Caenorhabditis elegans: one gene and its partners. The protein of the gene in region 2 purifies or fractionates together with the protein of the main gene of each other region. This does not show direct contact. Each region holds a gene or a part of one and is shown on either strand. Other genes may lie near its edges. The genes, in order: Y49G5A.1, cbs-1, trx-4 and F42A8.1.

The links.
Region 1: the proteins of cbs-1 (region 2) and Y49G5A.1 fractionate together in Caenorhabditis elegans (co-fractionation; one large-scale study listed by BioGRID). This does not show direct contact.
Region 3: the proteins of cbs-1 (region 2) and trx-4 fractionate together in Caenorhabditis elegans (co-fractionation; one large-scale study listed by BioGRID). This does not show direct contact.
Region 4: the proteins of cbs-1 (region 2) and F42A8.1 fractionate together in Caenorhabditis elegans (co-fractionation; one large-scale study listed by BioGRID). This does not show direct contact.

The regions. Positions count from the first base shown.
Region 1 is NC_003283.11:5,285,582-5,289,320, reverse strand, and holds Y49G5A.1 (BPTI/Kunitz inhibitor domain-containing protein), read left to right. Parts: upstream 1-1,947; 5' UTR 1,948-1,960; coding exon 1,961-2,092; intron 2,093-2,408; coding exon 2,409-2,520; intron 2,521-2,566; coding exon 2,567-2,628; intron 2,629-2,671; coding exon 2,672-2,914; 3' UTR 2,915-2,978; downstream 2,979-3,739.
Region 2 is NC_003284.9:10,052,087-10,058,160, forward strand, and holds cbs-1 (Cystathionine beta-synthase cbs-1), read left to right. Parts: upstream 1-2,194; 5' UTR 2,195-2,217; coding exon 2,218-2,258; intron 2,259-2,596; coding exon 2,597-2,700; intron 2,701-2,844; coding exon 2,845-2,912; intron 2,913-2,955; coding exon 2,956-3,059; intron 3,060-3,118; coding exon 3,119-3,527; intron 3,528-3,605; coding exon 3,606-3,994; intron 3,995-4,102; coding exon 4,103-4,209; intron 4,210-4,261; coding exon 4,262-4,710; intron 4,711-4,802; coding exon 4,803-5,191; intron 5,192-5,237; coding exon 5,238-5,292; 3' UTR 5,293-5,438; downstream 5,439-6,074. Other genes in the region: gnrr-3 (G-protein coupled receptors family 1 profile domain-containing protein), read left to right, coding at 168-395; ZC373.2 (uncharacterized protein), read right to left, coding at 5,881-5,991. UniProt on the Caenorhabditis elegans protein: Hydro-lyase catalyzing the first step of the transsulfuration pathway, where the hydroxyl group of L-serine is displaced by L-homocysteine in a beta-replacement reaction to form L-cystathionine, the precursor of L-cysteine.
Region 3 is NC_003279.8:3,317,301-3,320,865, reverse strand, and holds trx-4 (Thioredoxin), read left to right. Parts: upstream 1-2,281; 5' UTR 2,282-2,290; coding exon 2,291-2,382; intron 2,383-2,579; coding exon 2,580-2,811; 3' UTR 2,812-2,888; downstream 2,889-3,565. Other genes in the region: cdap-2 (SH3 domain-containing protein), read left to right, coding at 844-1,013.
Region 4 is NC_003280.10:9,340,500-9,348,394, forward strand, and holds F42A8.1 (uncharacterized protein), read right to left. Parts: upstream 6,092-7,895; 5' UTR 6,067-6,091; coding exon 5,969-6,066; intron 5,443-5,968; coding exon 5,252-5,442; intron 4,864-5,251; coding exon 4,772-4,863; intron 3,917-4,771; coding exon 3,792-3,916; intron 2,776-3,791; coding exon 2,679-2,775; intron 2,144-2,678; coding exon 2,009-2,143; intron 1,434-2,008; coding exon 1,059-1,433; 3' UTR 898-1,058; downstream 1-897. Other genes in the region: ttll-12 (Tubulin--tyrosine ligase-like protein 12), read left to right, coding at 1-200, 248-445, 492-720.

The DNA of each region.
Region 1 (3,739 bases), on a different chromosome or scaffold from region 2:
AAAATTTTCTTCTGAAAAGAAAAATCCAGCATTGTAAGCAAAAAATATAATTTATTTTCGAAATATCGGATTTTGTGAAAAATCGAAAAACAGACACCCTTGATTAAAATATTTATTATTTCAAAAAAGAGTGTTTCCGAAAAAATTCACAAATCAACACCTTTAAATTTAATATTATTCCCAGAGAGGAACATTGCAACATTTTCGTTCAGTATGTCATGAATTCTTCACTAAATAAGCCATCTTCACTAAATAAGCCATGGTATCAAGGAAGTGTAGATGATAAGTGGAAAAAAAAAGAACCGGACGATGAGAAACAAGAAGCAAAAAAACGAGAAAATGAGAAGAGTGTATGTGTGTCTTTTGAAAATGAGCACTCTTTTGGAGCACAGGCAGAGCAAAGTGGATTCTGCGCTGGGAAAACACCGACTAGGCAAAGGCAGATAATCAAATTGACCCCATAGGCTAATAGTAGCTGCTTTTCGCAATAGAGACTTGACTATAATGATTCGTTTTTTTTTGTTTTCTATTTTATTTTTTGGGTTTTGGTTTTCTATTCTGACGTTCTAAATCAAAACCTTACTTTTCAGTTTTTTTTTGAAAACATACAATTACCAAAACTTGAACCCAACAACTCAGAAAGAGTTGCCATAGCACATATTCAATCAACGGCGAACAAAGTAACAAGTAACAAAATTTTGTTATTTTTTGCGGAGAATTTCAGAGAAAAGCAACTGCAACGAAAAAAGTAGACGTCGAAGTGACATGAAAAGCAAATAAGGAATCGGAAATTTGTGAGTTTAGCTGGGGGATTACAGAGGATATATTAAAAAAATTTTAGGAACAAACTTCGCATGAACGGAATAAACAAGCACGTGGACCGGAGAATTTAGGTTACTCGAGGTCTATTCTCAAATAAGGCTTTTGAGTTGGGTTAAGAAATTAGAAAATTATGTCCAAGAGATTTCCCAACTTTTTGGAAAAAGTGAATAGGTGGCAGAAAGAAAAATTGCGTTAGAGTAGTTTTTCATATATAATCTTGACTTTCAGATGTTTTGTAAAACATGTGAACAACTATAGGAGTTTTCAAGAAACTTTTCTTTCTGAAAAAAATATGATCACTTTTAAAGGCTTCCACATTTGGAGCAGGGATGTGCGGCAAATCTCAAAATTTGCCGCGCTCGGCAAACTCGGCAAATTTGCCGTTTTCAACAGACTCCGGAAAAATGTTATATTTTAGATGTATTTTGGAGCACCAAAGATATCACACATCTGATTTCTGAATAAGTTTCGTGAGCTGTGTCAGCTTAAACATCAAATTAACTCCATTTTGTGGAATTTTACTAAATTTTAGGGGACAAATTCAATAGTTTTGGGCAAAATTGTTTTGTCAAATTTTTGGTGTGCTGCAAATTTCGAAATTTGTCGAGCTCGAGCATCGTTGATTTGAAGCAATTTGCACTGGAAAAATAATCAGATAGAATTTTATCCTGATCACAATACTTGTCAATTTTTTGTAGTAGCCTATTTTAAAATTTCTTTTTTTCAAATGGCATTTATGATCTCCGTATTGGTAATCTCTGTGACCAGGAAGTGATTCAAAGAATCATTCACGGTGATACCAAGAGCGTTTATAAAATTTGCTGAACAGTTTTTTAGATGGTTTGGCCACACAACCATATTAATAATTGTTTTATTGGACTTTTAGGTAGAATTTCAGATTGGAAGATTTCTGGGTGTTTTGTCAGCTAGCATTCGACAATTGAAAGAGATTTACGGATTTTTCTAAACGAATCTATACTAGAACTTCAACCAAACATTATCCAGTTTGACCTTCTTCTTATCTAAACCAGGAAGTGTTGAGTATAGTCATTCGATTTCTTTATCTCTCAACGTGTTTATCCATTTCTCCAGTAGTATAAAACGGTGATCATTTCAATTATTCTGTCAATTTTGCAAAATGAATCTTCTTCTTACCTTTTTGGCTACTATTCTGTGTGTCAGTGAGTTAGTCTCGACACTTCAACCGGAGTGCAAACTTCCATTGGACATGGGAAAAACACCATGTAAAAATGGAAAGAAGGAGATAAGAGTGAGTTTTGATTTTTCAAAGCTTTCATGTCGCTTTTTTTTGGAAACTTTGGAATTTTTGGAAATTGGAAAAAAATATAGAAAAACATTGGTACTTTCTGAAAATAGCTATACGTTTAATTGAAAATTCCGAGAATTTGCTCAAAAACTGACTCAAAAGTCAACGTGCCGAAATAACACTGAGACTGTAAGTCTTTTCAAAATTTCAACTTTTCAAAACTTTCAACAAAAGCAAAATTATTTTCAGAAACTAAACATATTTCTCAATATTTTTATTTCATAAAATTCATAAAGTATAAAGTCTTAATAATTTACAGTACCACTTTGACCAAAAATCCAATATCCCATTGGCTTTTGAGTACAGTGGATGTGGAGGAAACAAGAATAATTTCAAAACTGAGAGTGAATGTCGATTTACATGTACTGGATGTATGTTTTTTCATTTGAATTTTTTACTTTAAACCAAAGTATTTAGATGATCAATCGGGATGTGCCGCTGGAAGTAAGCCAATAAACGATAAAAACTGCCAAACCGATGTAAGTTGCTCCATGTTTTTGAAAAAATCTGTAAAAATTCCAGGAAGAATGTGGGCCAAAAGGTATCTGTAGGTACTCTAATCATATTAATATTTGCTGTGACAAGAAGATTGAAAAGTTGATTGAAGCTGATTATGAGCCAAAATGTCCAAAAGGAAAGAAAGTTGCAAAAATTGTCGAGGGTGGAATCCCTACAACGATTGTTGGGAAGAGTTGCAAATCAAAGTTCTGTCCAGCTGGAGCAACCTGTGTGGAGGGAACATATTTTGCCACTTGCTGCAATTAATTATTTTCGGCCGTGCATGTTTATCTATATAAACTTTTTTATTAATGAATTAATATAACTAATATAACCTTTTCCAAACAATTCGTCTGAAATCTTTAGATTTTCGGACTCCAGCAAATATACAAAGCTATCGATTTGTATATGATATCCCACTGTTTTAAATGAAAAATTTAATGTAGAAGCATATTATAAAAAACCAGCCGTTTGCACGTGCTCCGACTGGCGTACGGTAAATTGTTTTAATAAATTTTAAACTGCTAATGTAAGATTTTTGTACAGTCAACACTTTTCCTGGAGTTTTGCGGAATTTCAAGAAAATTCTAAAACTTTTCCAGAGTTTCTAGAAAATTCTAGAACCATCCTGCTTTTTATGTAAAAAGTCCTAGAAGGGACAAATTTTAAGCGCTTTCAGAATTTAATTACAAAAATTTCCAGGTGCCAGAAGCTTTCAGTTTGATCAAAAAAACTAAATTTCATGCAATATGACCGCATTTTTTTATTGGGAGATTTACTACGTTTGCATTACTTTAAAAATTAAGACTCTGGCCGTTCACCAAAATTAGTGACTCTGGCCGTTCACCAAAATTAGTGACTCTGGCCGTTCACTAAATATAGTTACTCTGGCAAAAATAGTGACTCTGGCCGTTCACCAAATATAGTGACTCTGGCCGTTCACCAAAATTAGTGACTCTGGCCGTTCACTAAATATAGTTACTCTGGCCGTTCACCAAGTATAGTGACTCTGGCCGTTCACCAAATATAGTGACTCTGGCCGTTCATCAAAATTAGTGACTCTGACCGTTCACCAAATATAGTGACTCTGGC
Region 2 (6,074 bases):
TTTGCAGTAAATCCCCGCAGGTGGTGTGATTTTAGAACTAGACATTGTTAATTACACTATCACACCGTCTATCTTCTAATCACATTTCTCTTTTTCTTGCAACAACGACCTGTTCCACCACCACCTAGAACTACATTTTTCGCATCTTGATCAGCATCACTTTGCAGGAAGTCGGTCTATCCGCCGATCGACGACGGTCCGGGAAGCCGAGGCCCAGCGGATTGTTGCCGCAGCAAATCGCGCACACCGAGAACAAAACTCCTCCCAAGTGTCGCCTCGAGGTACACGCGCCACGGTTCGAGAACAGACGCGCGTCGCAAATCGACTCAAAAACACCAAAAGTAATGAGGTTTAGATGCACCGGATCACTTGACGGAAAAGCTGGCAGATGCTGAGGAATGACCATCAATTTGAAATATTTCGTGTATATTTTTATGTAACAAACTGGAACTTCTGATCGTTGAAAAACTTTTGTCGAACCAACAATGCGAAGATGTACATTATGTGATGTAGCACATTCCTCTGTTTTCAAGAATAATCCCTTCTGAGAAAAATTAATTTATGGTAATAAAACTGAGTGTGCTCTTTTGAAAGTGTTGTTGCATTTTTTGGGAGAAAGTTATGGATGTTAAAAAAAAAACAATTCCTATTCGTAAAATATCTTCTCGTGAAAATTTTTGGAATCTGGCCCAAATGCATGGTAGTACACTTTGCATATTGAAGCCATATAAAATTCATCTTTCAAACTAAAAACTTTCGGAAAAACGGTGAATCTCAAGGAAATAAATATTTTATTTGTTCCCGAGAAAACTATAAAATCTTACAGATCAAATGAAATTTTTTGATCATTTTCTGTTCCGGTTTGTTTCTTTTTTGCAATCCCCTTCTTTTGTTGTTTGACCTGTGTTTTCCCAAATTCCCATCCAGACACCACACTACATACAAATAACTGCAATAAATCTTGCCACAGCACTATAATCTAATTGCTCGTTGTTGCAGTAGTAATATACCTGTCTAGAGGTTACTCTTCTTTCCAACACCTGTCCTTGCCTTTTTATTGTACACTCTGCTCTCTGTCTGCACTCCCATTCTTTTTCGTTCATCTCTCCCTGGCTCTTTTTTTTTCTCATCATTTCATTTTTGTCTGGGTTGTTTAGGAAATGATACACGCATAACCCTTGTCAGATCTTGAATCATCGTGATCTCTTCATTTTTTTTCTTCATGAATCGTGTTGTTTCTATCACCTTATGCCAACAATTATTGTATCTACAATTATAGTTTCAATAAAACTATCAACATTCATAGCAGTGATTGTTTCTAAAATTGTGTGACAGAAAATAGTCGAAAAGTGTTTTCTATTAATTATTCTCACAAACCCACACAAGTGACAAAAAACGTATAGAACATGTGCTTTAAAAATCATTATGATTTATAGATTTTGATCACCTTCATTTTTTCCAATATTCTTCCATCCATTGGAATATTCTTCTACATCAATGAAACAATATGAGAAAAAACCCAATTAGTTTTTAGTTGTATTTTCAAAGACACGCACAGAAAAAACACACAGAAAGTGTCAAATTCTTTGCTGTTATTTTTCTGAAATGTCATGTTATTTTTCCTAACCTATGTTTAGGTCACCTCATCTGTTGCCTACACCAGAGATCTAATATACTTTGCCCGAAGCGAAATGTATTTAATGATACCAATAATAAAAGATACTAAGTACACTTTATTATTCACCTCGTCCCTCGCAGTTAGTTCTGGCAAGATAATATAGATAATATTGTCGTAAAATTTTTTATCAATTTTTGTGATATTGATATTTCATTTTGTCACTCTCCCACTTGTCTTCAAAATTCCATTTCAACGAAATCTATTTTGAAAAAATAAAGCATCGTATAAAAGAGGTTTTTGATTCTTTGACCTTCACAATCGATCATCTCCCAAAAAGATAAACCACGACAAAGTGCCCAGTATTTGCTAGAAGAATCAATTTAGACCCGACTCCTCCCATCTTTTTTCTCGTGTCTCTGACCCTCATCTAGATGCCTATCAGTCTATAGTTTTCATTATCCACGGCATTGTGTGGCAATAAGAATAGTTAAAAGTCAACTTCATACCCTTTGTAACATTTTGTTTCAATTTTTTTTCAATCGATAAATGTCGTTTTCAACTTAATATTGATTTCAGGTAGCTATTAATCAGGTGTGAAAATGATCCAAAACGAAGTTTCCGCTACACATGGATCAACTAAGTAAGTTTTTTTTCAAAAAACACGCACTCTACTAAAAAAAATTTTTTGAATCAGGTTATAAAACAAAAATAACACATAGTTAAAACACAGTTTTTCTGGCTTCAAAACGAATAGTGCTGATGCAATCTTATTTGAAAACTGTAAATAAATGAGGCAGAATGAATTCAATACCATAAAGTTTGAAATTTAAGGTATTTTTTCTTCTCTCGAAAAGAAAATTGTAAGAAAAAAAGAAGCACGTGTAGATAAAAAATTCGTCTAATCTGCTTGAAATCAAAATTTTCTATAGATAAGATAAGATAAGACATTTCAACAGTCTAGCAAATTCACTTTTGCAGGAAAGGAATCACCTATAACACAATCTTAGAAGCCGCTCAACGTCCAACTCCACTTGTCCCACTCAAAAAACTGAAGGTTGAACATCAACTTCAGAGTGATATTTGTGAGTTTTGGTGACAAAAAGCTCATTAACGGCACACTAAACTCTAAAGTTTTCTGAGCCTTTCCGATAGGTTTTTTATTTATTCAACCTCTTGAGTCTGTTTGTTAATGAGATTGTGGTCAAGGGAAACTTTTTTCATTTCAGATGTGAAGCTAGAGTATCTCAATATTGCGGGATCTTTGGAAGACCGTACCGCTGACAAAGCTTTCCAGGTAGGAAATGGGAAGCAGATAAACCTAATTTGTACTTTTCCAGTTTGCTGAAGAGATTGGAGTTGTGAGAGGAGATGAAGTTTTTGTGACCGCCGGTGGGTCTGCAGCCATCTCATACGCAACAGTTGCTGCTGTGAAGGGCATCAAGTAAGTGAAAGATGGGCGAGATCAAAAAGCAACACGTCATGCATCATGTTTATTTTCAGATTGACCATCTACGCACCAAAGGGAGAATTCGATCTTGTGGATACTGTCTTGCATACCCTGGGAGTCAAAACTGTTGAACTTCCATTTGGAACATTTGCAGAGGCTCGTGTTCAAACTGATGAGGCTGCTCAACAAAAAGGTGTCTTCAGCTTGAATAAGTTCACTACCAATGCCGCATTTGTTGCAAATCTTCAAAAAACCGCCCTCGAAATTGAGAAAGCTGTTAATAACAAGTCGATTGGCAAAGTTGGAGCAGTTGTTATTCCATTGAATACCGGAGCTGCCGCTGCTGGAATTGCAGCATATTACAAGGGAATCGGTGAACATGGTGTTCGCGTTGTTGGAGTCACATGCAAAAAGGATACTATTCCAGAAATGGGATTGGACTTGAAAAATGATCTTCTCCAGGTGAGTGTAATAGAAGACGATGACAAGTAATCATAATATGCATACGTGTAAGTACAATTTCAACTAGCCAATTTTGAGGAGTACAATGTTGAAAAACGAGAGGTCGAAGAAGATGAAGCTTATTCTTTCACTCGACATCTCATTGGAACTGAAGGAATCATGGCTGGACCATCATCTGGAGCCGCTGTTCTTGAAGCAATCAAACTCGCTAAGGAACTACCAGCTGGATCAACAATTGTCGTTGTTCTTATGGATGGAATTAGAAATTATCTCCGTCATTTCCTCGATGATGATTGGATCACCGCTAACAAGAAAGACGTGGTGACCAGAAAAGATGGACCACAACCAAACAGCATTTACGATCCAAAAGTGCTTGTGTATGATCCAACTAAACTTGCTGGAGAGTGGACTCAAGATCCTGAAACCAAATCATGGAGCCATTCCGAAGTTGAATTCAACAAGTTCAAGTAAGTTTACCAAAAAACACATTTAAAAAATGAGTGGAGTTCATAGAAGTGAAACTTATTATGACCTCCTATACAACAACATAGTTAATTAACCCACAACTTTGTCAGCCCAGAAAGGCCACTGGTTCTTGATACAGTTCTCGATGCCATCGGCAAGACTCCACTCGTCAAGCTTCAACACATTCCAAAGGCACATGGAGTAAAATGCAACGTTTGTAAGTAACTTTAACATATATTTTCCTAAATCTATGCAATGGCATTTTACAGACGTCAAGTGTGAGTACATGAACGCTGGGGGATCAACAAAGGATCGTATTGCCAAAAGAATGGTTGAAATTGCTGAGAAGACTGGAAAACCTGGAAAGTTGGTTCCAGGAGTAACCCTCATCGAGCCAACCTCCGGAAACACCGGAATCGGACTTTCGCTTGCATCTGCTGTCCGTGGGTACAAATGCATTATCACCATGCCAAAGAAAATGTCAAAGGAAAAGTCAATTGCAATGGCTTCTCTTGGATCAACCATCATCCGTACTCCGAATGAGGCAGGATTTGACAGCCCACATTCACACATTGGTGTTGCTCTCCGTCTTAAAAGTGAAATTCAAGATGCGGTAGTTCTTGATCAATACTGCAATCCAGGAAATCCGTTAGCTCATTATGAAGAAACCGCTGAGGAAATCATTTACGATATGGGGGATAAGCATATTGATCTCGTGGTAAGAGCTTTTAATTTATCTAACTATTTGAAAAATGATGAAAGATGAAATTGTACACATTTCATGTTCGTTTTTTCATGACTGTTTTACAGGTTCTCACTGCTGGTACAGGAGGAACTGTTACTGGAATTTCTCGCAAAATCCACGAGCGTATTCCAACAGCCAAGGTGGTCGGAGTCGACCCTCATGGATCTATTCTCGCTGGACCTGCCGAGACTGACATCGACTTCTATGAGGTTGAAGGAATTGGATACGATTTTTTGCCAGGAACTTTGGACACTAGTGCCATTGACTATTGGGCAAAGTCTCATGACAAGGAGTCGTTCTTGATGGCTCGCGAGCTCATCAGATCTGAGGGTATTTTGTGCGGAGGATCTTCCGGTTGCGCGGTTCACTACGCACTTGAAGAATGCAAATCGTTGAATCTTCCAGCCGAGGCTAATGTCGTTGTTCTTCTTCCCGATGGAATTAGAAATTACATGTTAGTTTCATTATTTTTTTATTTCAAAATAAAATATACATTTCAGCACTAAATTCCTCGACGATGATTGGATGAATGAGCGTCATTTCCTAGACGCCTAAGCTATGAAGAACTTTGAATTTGTCTCCACCATTCCGTATTTTCATCTTGACAATCTACACGTATTACTTGGTCCGTATTATTTGGCTTCTTTACTTTTTTTTTCAATTCGCGATTTTACTCTGTTTTAAATAAAAATGGTTTTGTGACAAATTGTTATGATTGAAAAAATTCACGATTACATTCATAATAATCGAAGACCAAATGGGCGGTTGTCATAATGAATGTTTTTGTCACGAAAGTTAAATAAGATATCATAAGCGGATTTTTGCAGCTTTTATATTCTGAAAATAATTTTATTCAACTCTATTTAGTTTCATTAAAAATTATGATTGATACTAAAATGATACTGCTGGGTATCGATGTGCTTGTGATATTTGCCAAGAGCACGAGAAGAAAATCATTCAATGTACACAAACCTTAAAGTTGTTCCATTATTTTAGTAATGTAATAAGCTTCTTGTCTTGTCTTAAAGATATGCCAGATATTCCTCTAGAAAACAAAAAAAAACAATTGAATAATATCAATGAAATTTTAACAGTTAACAATTTTTCAAGGATTAAATATTTATTGCATAATGAAACTTTAATTTACTTCTTTCCATCGAAGAACGTGTTTCCGCCTCCACAGTTTCTGTTGGTGTTGTTGAAGCAGCAGACACAGGTTCTACGGTCATTTGAGATGAATCCAGATGCGAAGTCCTTTAAAATACAAAATGAATAATATTTGCATCATCCGTAATGAAGTCTACAAAATTATTTTAAGAAATTTCATATTTTTCCTC
Region 3 (3,565 bases), on a different chromosome or scaffold from region 2:
AGGAAAGAATTCTAAAAAAAAGGAATAAATCTGAAAATCTCTTTTAAACTTTTTTTTTTTTTTTGAATACTCTAGAAAAAAGTAAAAATTAATTTTAAAAGTTCCAAAAAAATCCGAAACAAAAAAATTCAAAATTTTAGGAAAAATGAAAAAATAAAAATGTTTTAAGTCCTGTGAAAATTATTTAAAAAAGGGTATAATTAAAAAAATTGCAAAAAATTTGGAATTTTGTTTTTAAAAATATTAAAAAGTACTTTTTAAAATTCCTAGAGAAATTCCTAAAAAAAAATAAATATTTCTCCAAAAAAAAAATGCAAAAAAAAAGAAAATATATTAACATTTTTTAAAAAGTTAAAACTTCTTAAAATCTAATTTTACAACTAAATAATTCATAAATTCAATGCAAAAAAAAACTCGAAAAATGAGAAAAATACAATAAAAATGAAAATAATTCAGTAAAAAATCTTTTTTTAATTCCAAATGAAAATTTTTTTCAAGTATTTTTTCGAATTTCCGGAAATTTTCCGTTTCGGCAAATTGCCGGAAATTCTCAAATCCGGCAATTTGCCGATTTACCGGAAGTTGACAATTCCGGCAATTAGTCGAGTTGCCGGAAATTTTCAACTCCGGTAATTTGCCGATTTGCCGGAAGTTGTCAATTCCGGCAATTTTGCCGATTTGCCGGAAGTCGAAAATTTTCTGTTTTGGCAAATTGCCGGAAATTTTCAATTCCGGCAATTTATCTATATGCCGGAGATTCTCAAATCCGGGAATTAGTCGATTTGCCGAAAATTTTCAATTCCGGCAAATTGCCAAAAATTACAAAAATCGTCCATCTTCCAGATTCCACTTCCTCCACCTCTGCAATCAGAAAATTGGCATCTCCAGATAGTCAAAAATCGCCAAATCTTCCGCCATCAGACTATGTCAGCCGTGCCGAATACGATGCCCTTCTCGATAGATTCCGTGCTCTGGAATCACGAGTTCTCGCCATTGAAAAGATTCGATTCTAGCCATTTTCCTCATTCATCCAATTATTCGTGTAAATTGTGCCCCCCATCTCTTCTCTCTCTTCCCCATTCACCCAGTGCAATATAGATTCTCGAAGCATATAAAGAGAGAGTATCAAATTGTCCTGTGATCCTTTGTTTTTTTTTTTGGAAATTCTCATTCAACCCACACCCCCGATTCGTTTGTATTGATTCACTTATCATTGCTCCAAATATTATACAATTTTTGCGATTTTTTGTGCTAAAATTACAGTACCACGGAGTCTCGACGCGACAAATTTTTGTTTCAAATTTTGCCAGAAATGCTAGAAAACAGCCCCAAAATATCAAATTCACTTGTAAAATTTTTAGAATTTTTCTAAATTTTTAATGTTTATTTTTGCAATTTTAAGGCAAAAATTCGAATTATTTTTAAATCCCCTTGCAAACAAATTTGAATGGGTTTTCTTCATATTTTCTCGGATATTTGATTTGAAACACAATTTTTCGAATTTTCAGACGTTTTTTCGGCTTAAAAGTCGATTTTTTCCGAAAAAAAGGTCTGAAATTTTGTGTTTCAAATCAAAAAATTCGGGGAATTCAAAAATAATTTGGTAATTGAAAATTGCGTCGTAAAATTGATTGTGAGAAAAAAATCTAGAAAAATTGTAAATATAAATTCTTCAAAAATTACACTTTTTTTCGAGTCGCTGCATCATGTTTAAAGGCGCACATCCTCTTGAAAAAATTTGTCGCGTCGAGACCAAGTATTTCACATCCGCTTCATTTTCTCGCTTTTTCTTTTTTTTCACACATTGTTGCTCAAAACGGCGTTCTTCTCTTCCCCCACTCCTCTCCCCCACATTTGGCCAGTCAGCAGGACCTAAAGATGTATCTCTTGGTCACCCGTTTTTAAAAATTTTTTATAATGGTTTATTGTTTCTTTATTTCATTTCTTCTCGGCCACACACACACATACTATAAATGTTATTGTGATTTTTATTTTTATTATTATGTGTTGATTAACGTAAATTTTATTCAAATTTTTGCAATGTTTTTCAATTAATTGAACTTCTACATTAACCGTTAATGTTTTCTTGCGGTGAATTTTAAATATTTCTAAATTCTGAAACCAAACCGAATATTTTTTAATACTAACTGTTAAATTGTAGTCTCTAATAGTATAGAGTTTCCGGGAATTATTACGCGAACGCTAAAATTCTGCGAATGCGTATTGAGCAAAAGACGAATTTAAAATTAAAAAATTCCAAATTATTTTTTTTTTATTTCAGATAACCGAAATGTCTATCGCAATCAAGGACGATGACGAATTCAAGACAATTTTTGCCGAGAAGAAAACCCAGCCAGTGATTCTATTTTTCACGGCTTCATGGTAGGTTGGATTTATGCACATGGCTGAGAATTTTCTTAATCGAAATTTCTAGGCCACGACTATTTGAAGCCTTTCATCAGGATAGTTTGGATTTCGAAACTTGAGTTTTTGATAGAAACGTAAATTCTAAAAAATGCCTTTTACAGTTTCAAATTAAAACTTTCATGAAATTAAATTCTCAAAATACACGATTCCAGGTGCGGTCCGTGCCAAATGATCAAGCCACGTGTGGAGGAGCTGGCCGCCGAGCACAAGGATCGCCTATCGATCCTTAAAATTGATGTGGACGAGTGTGACGGTGTCGGTGAAGAATATGAGATCAACTCGATGCCCACCTTCCTTCTGATTGTCGACGGAATCAAGAAGGATCAGTTCAGTGGAGCGAACAATACAAAGTTCGAGGAAATGGTCAAGGCAGCTCTTCAATGATTTTCACACTTTTAAACATCTTACATTATATTTTCTCTGAAGATTAAGAGTTCTGAACGAATAAACAGTATTATTTGAATTATTTATTTTTTGAAAACATGTATTATTACGTCATTGATGTTTTCGGCCTGAACTCCGAAAAGGTATGACTGGCGGACCCACGACATCCGGTTGACATTGCAGTCGACTGACTTTGAGCTTTTCGCATTTTTTTTTCAAAAAGGAATTTTCTTCGTATATATCTCTTAAATATCGAGAATTGTTTTTTTTCTCACAAAATCGGTTAAATATTGAATTGTGCCCAAGCTCATCCCAATTTTCAAAAGAGAACTGCCGTTACCTCAAAGGCGCATACAGAAGCAAGTAAAGTTATGAAAGAAATCCAGCAAACATATTGGGTCTCGCCGCGCGAAATGTATTTTTTAATTTTTTGGAATTGTCGAGTTTTCTTTTTCTTTTAATAGGTATTTGTTGGTTATTTCATATTACGGAAACGGAAAACTCTGAGAATGCGTCTTTCTTTTCAACATATGCTTTTGACGAGCAAAATATTTCGAAGCGAAAACTACAGTAATTCTTTAAATGACTACTGTAGCACTTGTGTCGATTTACGGAAATGAATTTATTTTTGAATTGTGGCAGCGATATTCAATTTTTCGTTTTTTTTGTCAATTCGATAAATAAATAATTTTAATTCATTTCGAGAATCAAGTCCGTAAATAGATCTACAGTAGCCATTCAAAGAATTACTGTA
Region 4 (7,895 bases), on a different chromosome or scaffold from region 2:
GAAGATTTGAATCAAATTATTCGAATGATTGAGACTGGGCCCAAGATTGTCTGCGAGTACATTCCTCGCCCATTGTTGTTCCCAAGGCCTGATAACGGGAATAAGGTGAAATTCGATCTTCGATACATCGTTTTCCTTAATGGAATTGCACCAGTTACTGCATACGTCTACAATAGATTCTGGATTCGATTCGCTATTAAGTTAGTTATCACCGTTAGAATTCAAAGTTAATGTTTACATTTTTCAGCGAATTCAGTTTATCTAACTTCGAGGATGTGGAGACTCATTTCACTGTATTCAATTATTTGGACAAAGAGAAAATTCTTCAAATGAAATGCGAAAACTTTATTGAAACTATTGAAAAAGCTTATCCGAGGATTCAATGGAGTGAAGTACAGAAAGATATCAATTTAACCATTCGCAAGGCAATCGAAGCAGCTGCAAAGTAAGTTTCGTTTTGTTTAGAAATATCTTAATGTTTGCATTTTCAGAGAAGAAGCTCCACGAGGAGTTGCTCCAAATGTCCAATCCCGTGCAATGTACGGTGTTGATATTATGCTTCAACACGGAGACAATGACGTCATCAAATCCACTCTCCTCGAGATTAATTTCATGCCGGACACCACTCGAGCATGCCAGTATTATCCAGATTTTGCTGACACTGTTTTTGAGACGCTTTTCCTGGATGAAATCGATCCAACCAAAGTCACACCAATCTAATTTCGTGTTCTTTTTTGTTTTTTCTTCCATATTACGATTGTTATATTATTTTTTGTTAACTTATTCTATTTTCGGCACTGAAACTTCACCGTGTTCACGTTTTCATCGGTGTTTTCTCGTATTCCAGTGGAAATTTTATGATCCTCTTTTCTTTATATAAAATTTGCATTCCTTTATGAATATAGTTATTCTTTATTTATTATCAAACTTCAGAAAAGAAATAGAAGAAGCACAATTATTAGGTTATTTCTCACGACATTTCAACAAAATTACACGTATTCTCGGGGGTACAATAACAAGAGAAAGCTCGCTGTGGTCACCTAGTCAAAACAACGTGATTATTTGCCACGTGGCAAATCGTACTTAAGTCCAGACGTATTCCTTTCCAACTGTGCCACATCGAAGATCACCAACTCGGCACCGTCAGCAGTCTTTCGGCAAGCAAGTCCAACTGATGAATCCTTTTGTTTTGGAAGATTCCAAATTGTGTACTTTCCTGGCTCAAGGAAAATTCGATCGAATCCCTTGTATTTATAGATGCATCCAACTGTGGTGACCTTTGTCTTGTTATCTCCGTCAGTTTCGCAGGTCTTCTCGATCTTCCAGTCTGGGTTCTGCTCATACCATCTACATCCGATCACCTTGTTAATGTCACGACCATTTTCAACAATCGAGCATCCGACGGCACGGTGGCTTCGTTTTCCTGGACGGATCTGGAAATTATAAGTTGAATATTTGGATGTACATATTATATTTAATTTCCAAGAGTCAGTAGGGATTTAGTTTAAATAAACTTATTATAGTTCAAAATGACAAAACATTTCAGATTTTTCAAAATTTTCAGTCACAGTTTTGGTAAATTACCAAATTTATCAAAAATTGTCAACTGACAATATGCAGATTAGTCCTTTTTCTACAGTTTTGATGTTATTTACTTTTTTGAAATATTTGAAATTAACCGAGATATGAGCTGCCAAAGTAGAGATTTTCCTAACGTCTGGATTCATTTCGGGACACCTAATTCTTAGTTCCTTAATGTATCATTTTCATATTTGAAAACTTCAATTTCAGAACTGTTCCATTGATCTCCCGTTCTATTTTTTCTCATTCTCATCACCTTCTTTTGCATGTTTCCCAATTACCTCGTTCTCCTCTTTCTCTTTTTCACATTGAACGTTCACTGTTGTATGTGTTTTGTACCCTAACAGTCTAAACCTATTGTCCAGAAAAAAAGCATCCAATAACTGATTCCTGTCCCCACTGGTACAGTCATTGACCGGAAACATACCTCGCACTGATAAGTGGTTCCATCTCTTTTGTACCGTTGTCCATCATACAAGTCTTGTCCACCAGCAACACATCCGATGCACTGCTTCGTACACTTTCCACCTTGCAACTTGCAATAGAAGAGGTAGTCTCCGTCCTGAAAACGAGAATATACAAGTTAATAAGAAGATGATGTTATCTATTTCATCAATCTGTTTTTTTTCTGTTTTTTTTCAAAACTTATTTTTAAGGTATGTACTTCCTATTAGGATTTGTTGTTATCATTTTCATCTTCAGAACTTTTTTTTCGTGAAAAGTTTGATGTTCAAAAATCGCAGGATTTTGCAGGGGCACGCCCTTGGACAAGTTGATTTAATGTTGATTTGAACATGTTTAGAAGGTTCAAATTGGGTTTGGAAGACTTCCGGGAGAAATGATTGATAATGGATGAAATGAAATTCAAAAAAAAGAGAAAAGTTCTAGAAGTTTCGGCGCCTTCGTTTTTTTTCGTTTCAAATTACTAGGAAATAATTATTTTGACAGATGCATTGGGCTTGGTAGATCCCGATCCCAGTAGGCACAAAAATATCTACCTACATTTCAGAAGACCTACGCCGGCCTATGAAAAAATATAAATAGGTGGTAGGCGAGTCATGAAGGCTTGTCCACCCAAACTCATTGGTAAAACTCACTCTGTATTGTTGTCCAACAGTGTATCGAGTTCCCTCATGAATACATCCAACACTGCACATTTGAACGACTCCAGTAGTTTTTTGTTGGCATTTATAACTGAAAATATTTTTTCCATACTCTTCAGAATTCAAAGTCTCAACTTAAAAAAAAAAGTTGCTACCGCAAAAGTTCAAGTATCTCGTAGACACCAACCGATAAGATATAAAAGAGTGCATTTTCGTAGTGACCCGTTTTTTTTGTCACTTTATCACATAATCTCGCCATATCCGTCGCCCTTATCAATGAAAAAAAAAACTAAAAAAGTTGTTAAAATACAACTTGGGAGAAAATAGGATTACGGTGGATTTGAAGGTTGCAGGATATCAATTAATTTCCAAGTGCTATGAAAACATTGAAAGGACATAAAAACAGGATTTGAATTATCATTTTTGATCTTTCATCACCGAAAATGTACCCGAGAGTACTGTAATTTAGATTATGATACGTTCGATAGCACTAGTCCACATGTCTTATTTCAGAAAAACCTACGCCTACCTCGTACCTACTGCGAAACCGCCAATCTCTTGCATTCAAAGATTAGATTTCAAGCTTCAGTGTTTTAAATAGTGTGAAACCGTCAATTCCTTAACTTTACGCTCAAATAGGAAATAAGCATTCGTCAGAAACGAAGGCAGGCACGTGTAACTCTTGCCTACCTGCCAGATTCACCTAGTGTTGGAAATTCTTGAATTGACAATGCTGTCACATCAGTTTTAATGTCCCCTAGTTTTCCTATTAGTTTAAATTCAATTAGGTAATCTGGGTTTCAGTTCAATTTTGATCCTTAGATCCAATCTATCACTTTCAATCTTTCAAAACCCTATCAGTCAATCTCTATCACTATCTATTTAAACTCATTCTTTAGTCTTTCACCACTCTTTGCCTTTTCGTTTTTCTGCTAAACCGTCTGACCGGTGTCACTTCATATTGTCTCCCGTGTGTTCAAATTTCGGGTGGCCTTCAAATCATATGTCACCCTATCATTTACACTTTTCTTGGCGGCGCCATGTCGGTAAAAACAACGGATAAGCGGAGATAAGCCATTGAGCGAAATTTAGGGGCAGCGAACTCACGTGTATCCGTTGAAATCGTCTGTCTGACCAAGTGGGACACGTCGTTGCTTATCATGGGCAATGCATCCTTCAATTGTCGTTTTGACAACACGACCATCGTCACGGCAACGGTAGTAGTAAGTGTTCTGGAAGAGGTATTTTTGTGGTTGAATGGGGTAGAGGGGGTTGTGGTCAAAGTTGAACTTGGAATACTACTATGATTGAAGACAAATGGGTCTGTTCTATTTTATTAAATATCAATTTACTAGATCTTGCTCAAACTGTTTAAAATTAAATTGAAAATTAGCTACCAAAATTTCAAAATTTCTCTACACAATTTTCGGTTTCTAAACCAATTCGATTATGTCTTCTTTTCATTTAATGATCAAAGGATCAGAAACATTATCAGGCCGGTTATCTGTCCTATGCCTATAGCACCTATGGGATGTGGGATCTCTAGAAAACAAGCTTATACTTACTTTAGGTATCACTGTGGGCAAGCACATCGGCGATCAGAGTACCTGTTTGTGTGCCTACCTTAAGCCTACTTGTTTTTATTGGAAACTATTGGTTTGTGCTTCCTAAGTAGATTAACAATATTTTAATTTTGTGAGCACGAAAGCATGAGTCTTGCATCGAACACGCTCTCAATTTAAATTTAATAAATCACACTTTCAAAGTTCATCTCTAATTATTGTGCCACATTTTCAGCGATTTTTCTCGGCATTGTCAAACTATGCCTTCCACTTTTTGAATTTGTAGGTCAAAAAGTTTTCGTTTGGAATCAAATTAGTGAAGTTTCGAAAGTAAAATTGGGTCAGTTCAAAAACTATGTTATAGCTTTCGTTGAAACTTTGATCAACGTTTTTTTTTAGTGGCAACTAAAAAGTTAATAGAAAAATTGCAGAACCCCCTACTGTGTGTGTCCGCCCACCGGATGTGATACATGTTGCAACTTTCTTCACATGTTTTAATATCTTTCACTTTCCTCTCATTCTTACCTTGGCATCGGTCCAAGTCTCTCCTTTTTGATAGGTACGTCCATCTGTGCCGACACATGCGCTGTAGCCGAATTCGATATAACCGTCGCTTCCTGATAAAGAGTAATCGTAAAAAAGGAGATTTGATACGTTTTCTACAAAATCAGATGTGGGTACTCAATGATATGGGGAAAAAGAAGATCAAATCGACAAAAGATGTTGAATGAGAGACATTAGAAATGGTTTTTTTTTTGAATGGACACGATTTTGAGAATACCTACTTTTAAAATATTTTAACAATTTGAAAGTTAGTTATTCTTAACACTGTCGTGAACTCGAAGACTCCAAAAGTTACGGAAACAGTACTAGGTATTCTGAGTAGTAGGTATTAAGAATTTGAACTAGCTAATAAAAAGTTGAATTTAATTCCAACTGAAAATTTATAGTATTCTCAGAAGCCTAGTTGCCCAGATCAGTATAATTTCCATGCTCGAAACTAACCAAGTTGGCAAATGAACTCATATCTATCTTGTTGGAAAGTATGTCCAAGTGGAATCTTTTCCTCTGTGCTTGACAGACATCCAAGTGGCTCCAACTGTCCACGTCTACACTCATAAAAGTATTTTCCACGTGTCACTTGGTCTCCTTCCTGCCACCATTGAGCTGGCCGTCCGTTCCCGCTTGTCCAACATCTGCAAAAGGAGTTTTTTTTTTGAAAACCGGTTCTTATCAATTGGTTTCAGTTTCGTTGAGAACCATAGATACTAGTAGCTAGTTGTCTTGTTCAATGAGATGAACTTGACAAGATGATAAGGAATACAAGGGGAACGGTGAGACATTTAGGTTGTGGATTTTGAAATTTTTGATTTTTTGTTGTTATGTATAGTATGTATACAATGTATACGTTAGAAAAAATGATTCCTCATATCTAATCTCAGAAGTTTGGCTCTGAAATTGAACCACCATGATACTAGAGGTTTAATGTTTTATACGTGCCTCCAGAAAAATTTTTATAATTAATGCCAAATAAAAAATAGGCATAGGCAGGCACGTAGGCAAAAAAAGGCATATTTAGAAGCCATGGAAGCCATATGACTTTCAAAAACAAATTTTTTGAGAATAAAAAAATTTGCTACGAAAATCGTAAGGTTTGAGACTAATAAGGATTAATTTTTCGAAAATTTTGGATACACTGAACCTTTAAAAAATAAAACAAACCTAGCTCTAGCTGCAGCTCCTTTTTCGACATTTGAATAGGCCGAAACCTCGAAAATTGAAAGAATCGAGAGGATAAGTAGAACCAAGTTGTTCTGCATTTTCATCAAAATTTCTTTTGTCTCTAATTCCCCCGCTTTCGGTGATTTTTATAGTAGCTCCTAGGCTCCTCCCACTTCCTCCCCCACATCTTCTTTCTCTTTTTCACTTTTTTCATCTTTTCTCTCCCCTTTTCCGTCCGAAAATGGACAATTGTTCTTCAAGTGGGCGGAGCTCTAGGAACACCTTTTCGCTCTTGAATGTTTGTTTTAAGATGAAGAAAAAGCGGAAAAGAATTGGGATATACATCATAGTTACGCCGGTTTTGTTATTCAAATATCTCATAAATTACAAGTTTTCTGGAGGAAAGAACACCATAAATGACCATTTCAGTGAAAGTGCGTGTAGGAGGGGAAACTACCGGAAATTGAGCTAAAAATATACAGTGTATTGGTCTATGAGTTTTCAAGCTGTCAGATGGTGCAAAATAGATTTATAGATTTTCCAAATAGTTCAAAACAATTCGGTAAACATTCTAAGCTGAGGGAGCCCAAAAATTATGGATGATGCCTTTCAAAGTTATCAATTCGTACTAGAGCTACTCACTTATTCAAAACATCACTCTATAAAACTGGATGGGCAAATGAAAACTTATAGTTAGGACCTGCCTGCCACCTCTGAATTACGGTATGATACAGCTTTTCTACTGTGAAGAATTAAATTTAAGCGCACTTCAAATTGAACGTACTTTTGAGAAAACGGAAATTTCCGAGATTCCATCTATTCCAAAAAGAAATTAGTTGCCAAAATTGAGCAACTGGGAGTAACGGCATATCATTTTCTATCACAATATCACATTCGACTCGTTTGAGCTCTGGAAAATATGATAATCTAACTTTTTGGATATGACGTCACAATCAGTCCTGTAAGAAATTTCACGTTTTCCAGTGGAAGGATCACTCCGAACACGCGCCTCGTATCTCAATCTGAATGTGGCTTACTGCTGTAGTATGGGATTTCCAAAATAATCCATCTTTGAAAATGTGTGTGTTTTTTTAATTTGTATATATTCTCTGCCTTCTTCATCAAAAACTCACCTCGATTTTCACATATGAGTTCTCAATTATTCATCCAAAAATTCCTAGACACTTATTTCATCCAAACGCATATTTGAAACCGTTTCTCCTCCGGTCGAAATGCTAATTGCCGCCCACCTACATATACCGTGACAACATTTTGTTGTGTAGGTGTCAGTAGTTCACTGACGAGATGAAATTCAATTCAGAAAAAAACGTTCTCTGAGACACACTGACGTCTTCTTATTTGCAGGAAATGATTGCTGACACTTTAAAAAATAAATAGGACAACATTAGAAAATAAACAATCAGGTTGATTTATTTACAATAAATAAAACAGTGTAATCAACTTGTCATTTATCAATGGACAGGAGAGTCTGATGAAAAGGTTTCCGGAGAGATCGGAAGTGAGATGGGGAAATTGGAAAAAGGAAAGAGTTGAAATCTCATTGACTACTCGACTTCATTTTTGTTCATGAGAAATCCGTTAAAATTATAGAGAAAGAAGTGAGACAATATGTTGACGTACAAAAATGGTTATATTCATTTGCAATATCTTCTAAAACTCGCAAAATTGCGTATCTTCAAACTGACGTATCTCGAAAACTATAGTTCTAGAAAACAAATGTTCAACAAACAAAACTATTAGAAATATTTTTTCTTCCCTTTGCATCAATTTTCATTACAAAGTAGCAAGGATTTATTGAGTTACACTGATTCAAAGATAGTTTCCTAAAATCTACCAAAATTTTTGAGAACTGTTCTGTTGTACCAGTCTTAACTCAACATCCATTGAGTTTCAGAATTAAATTTTT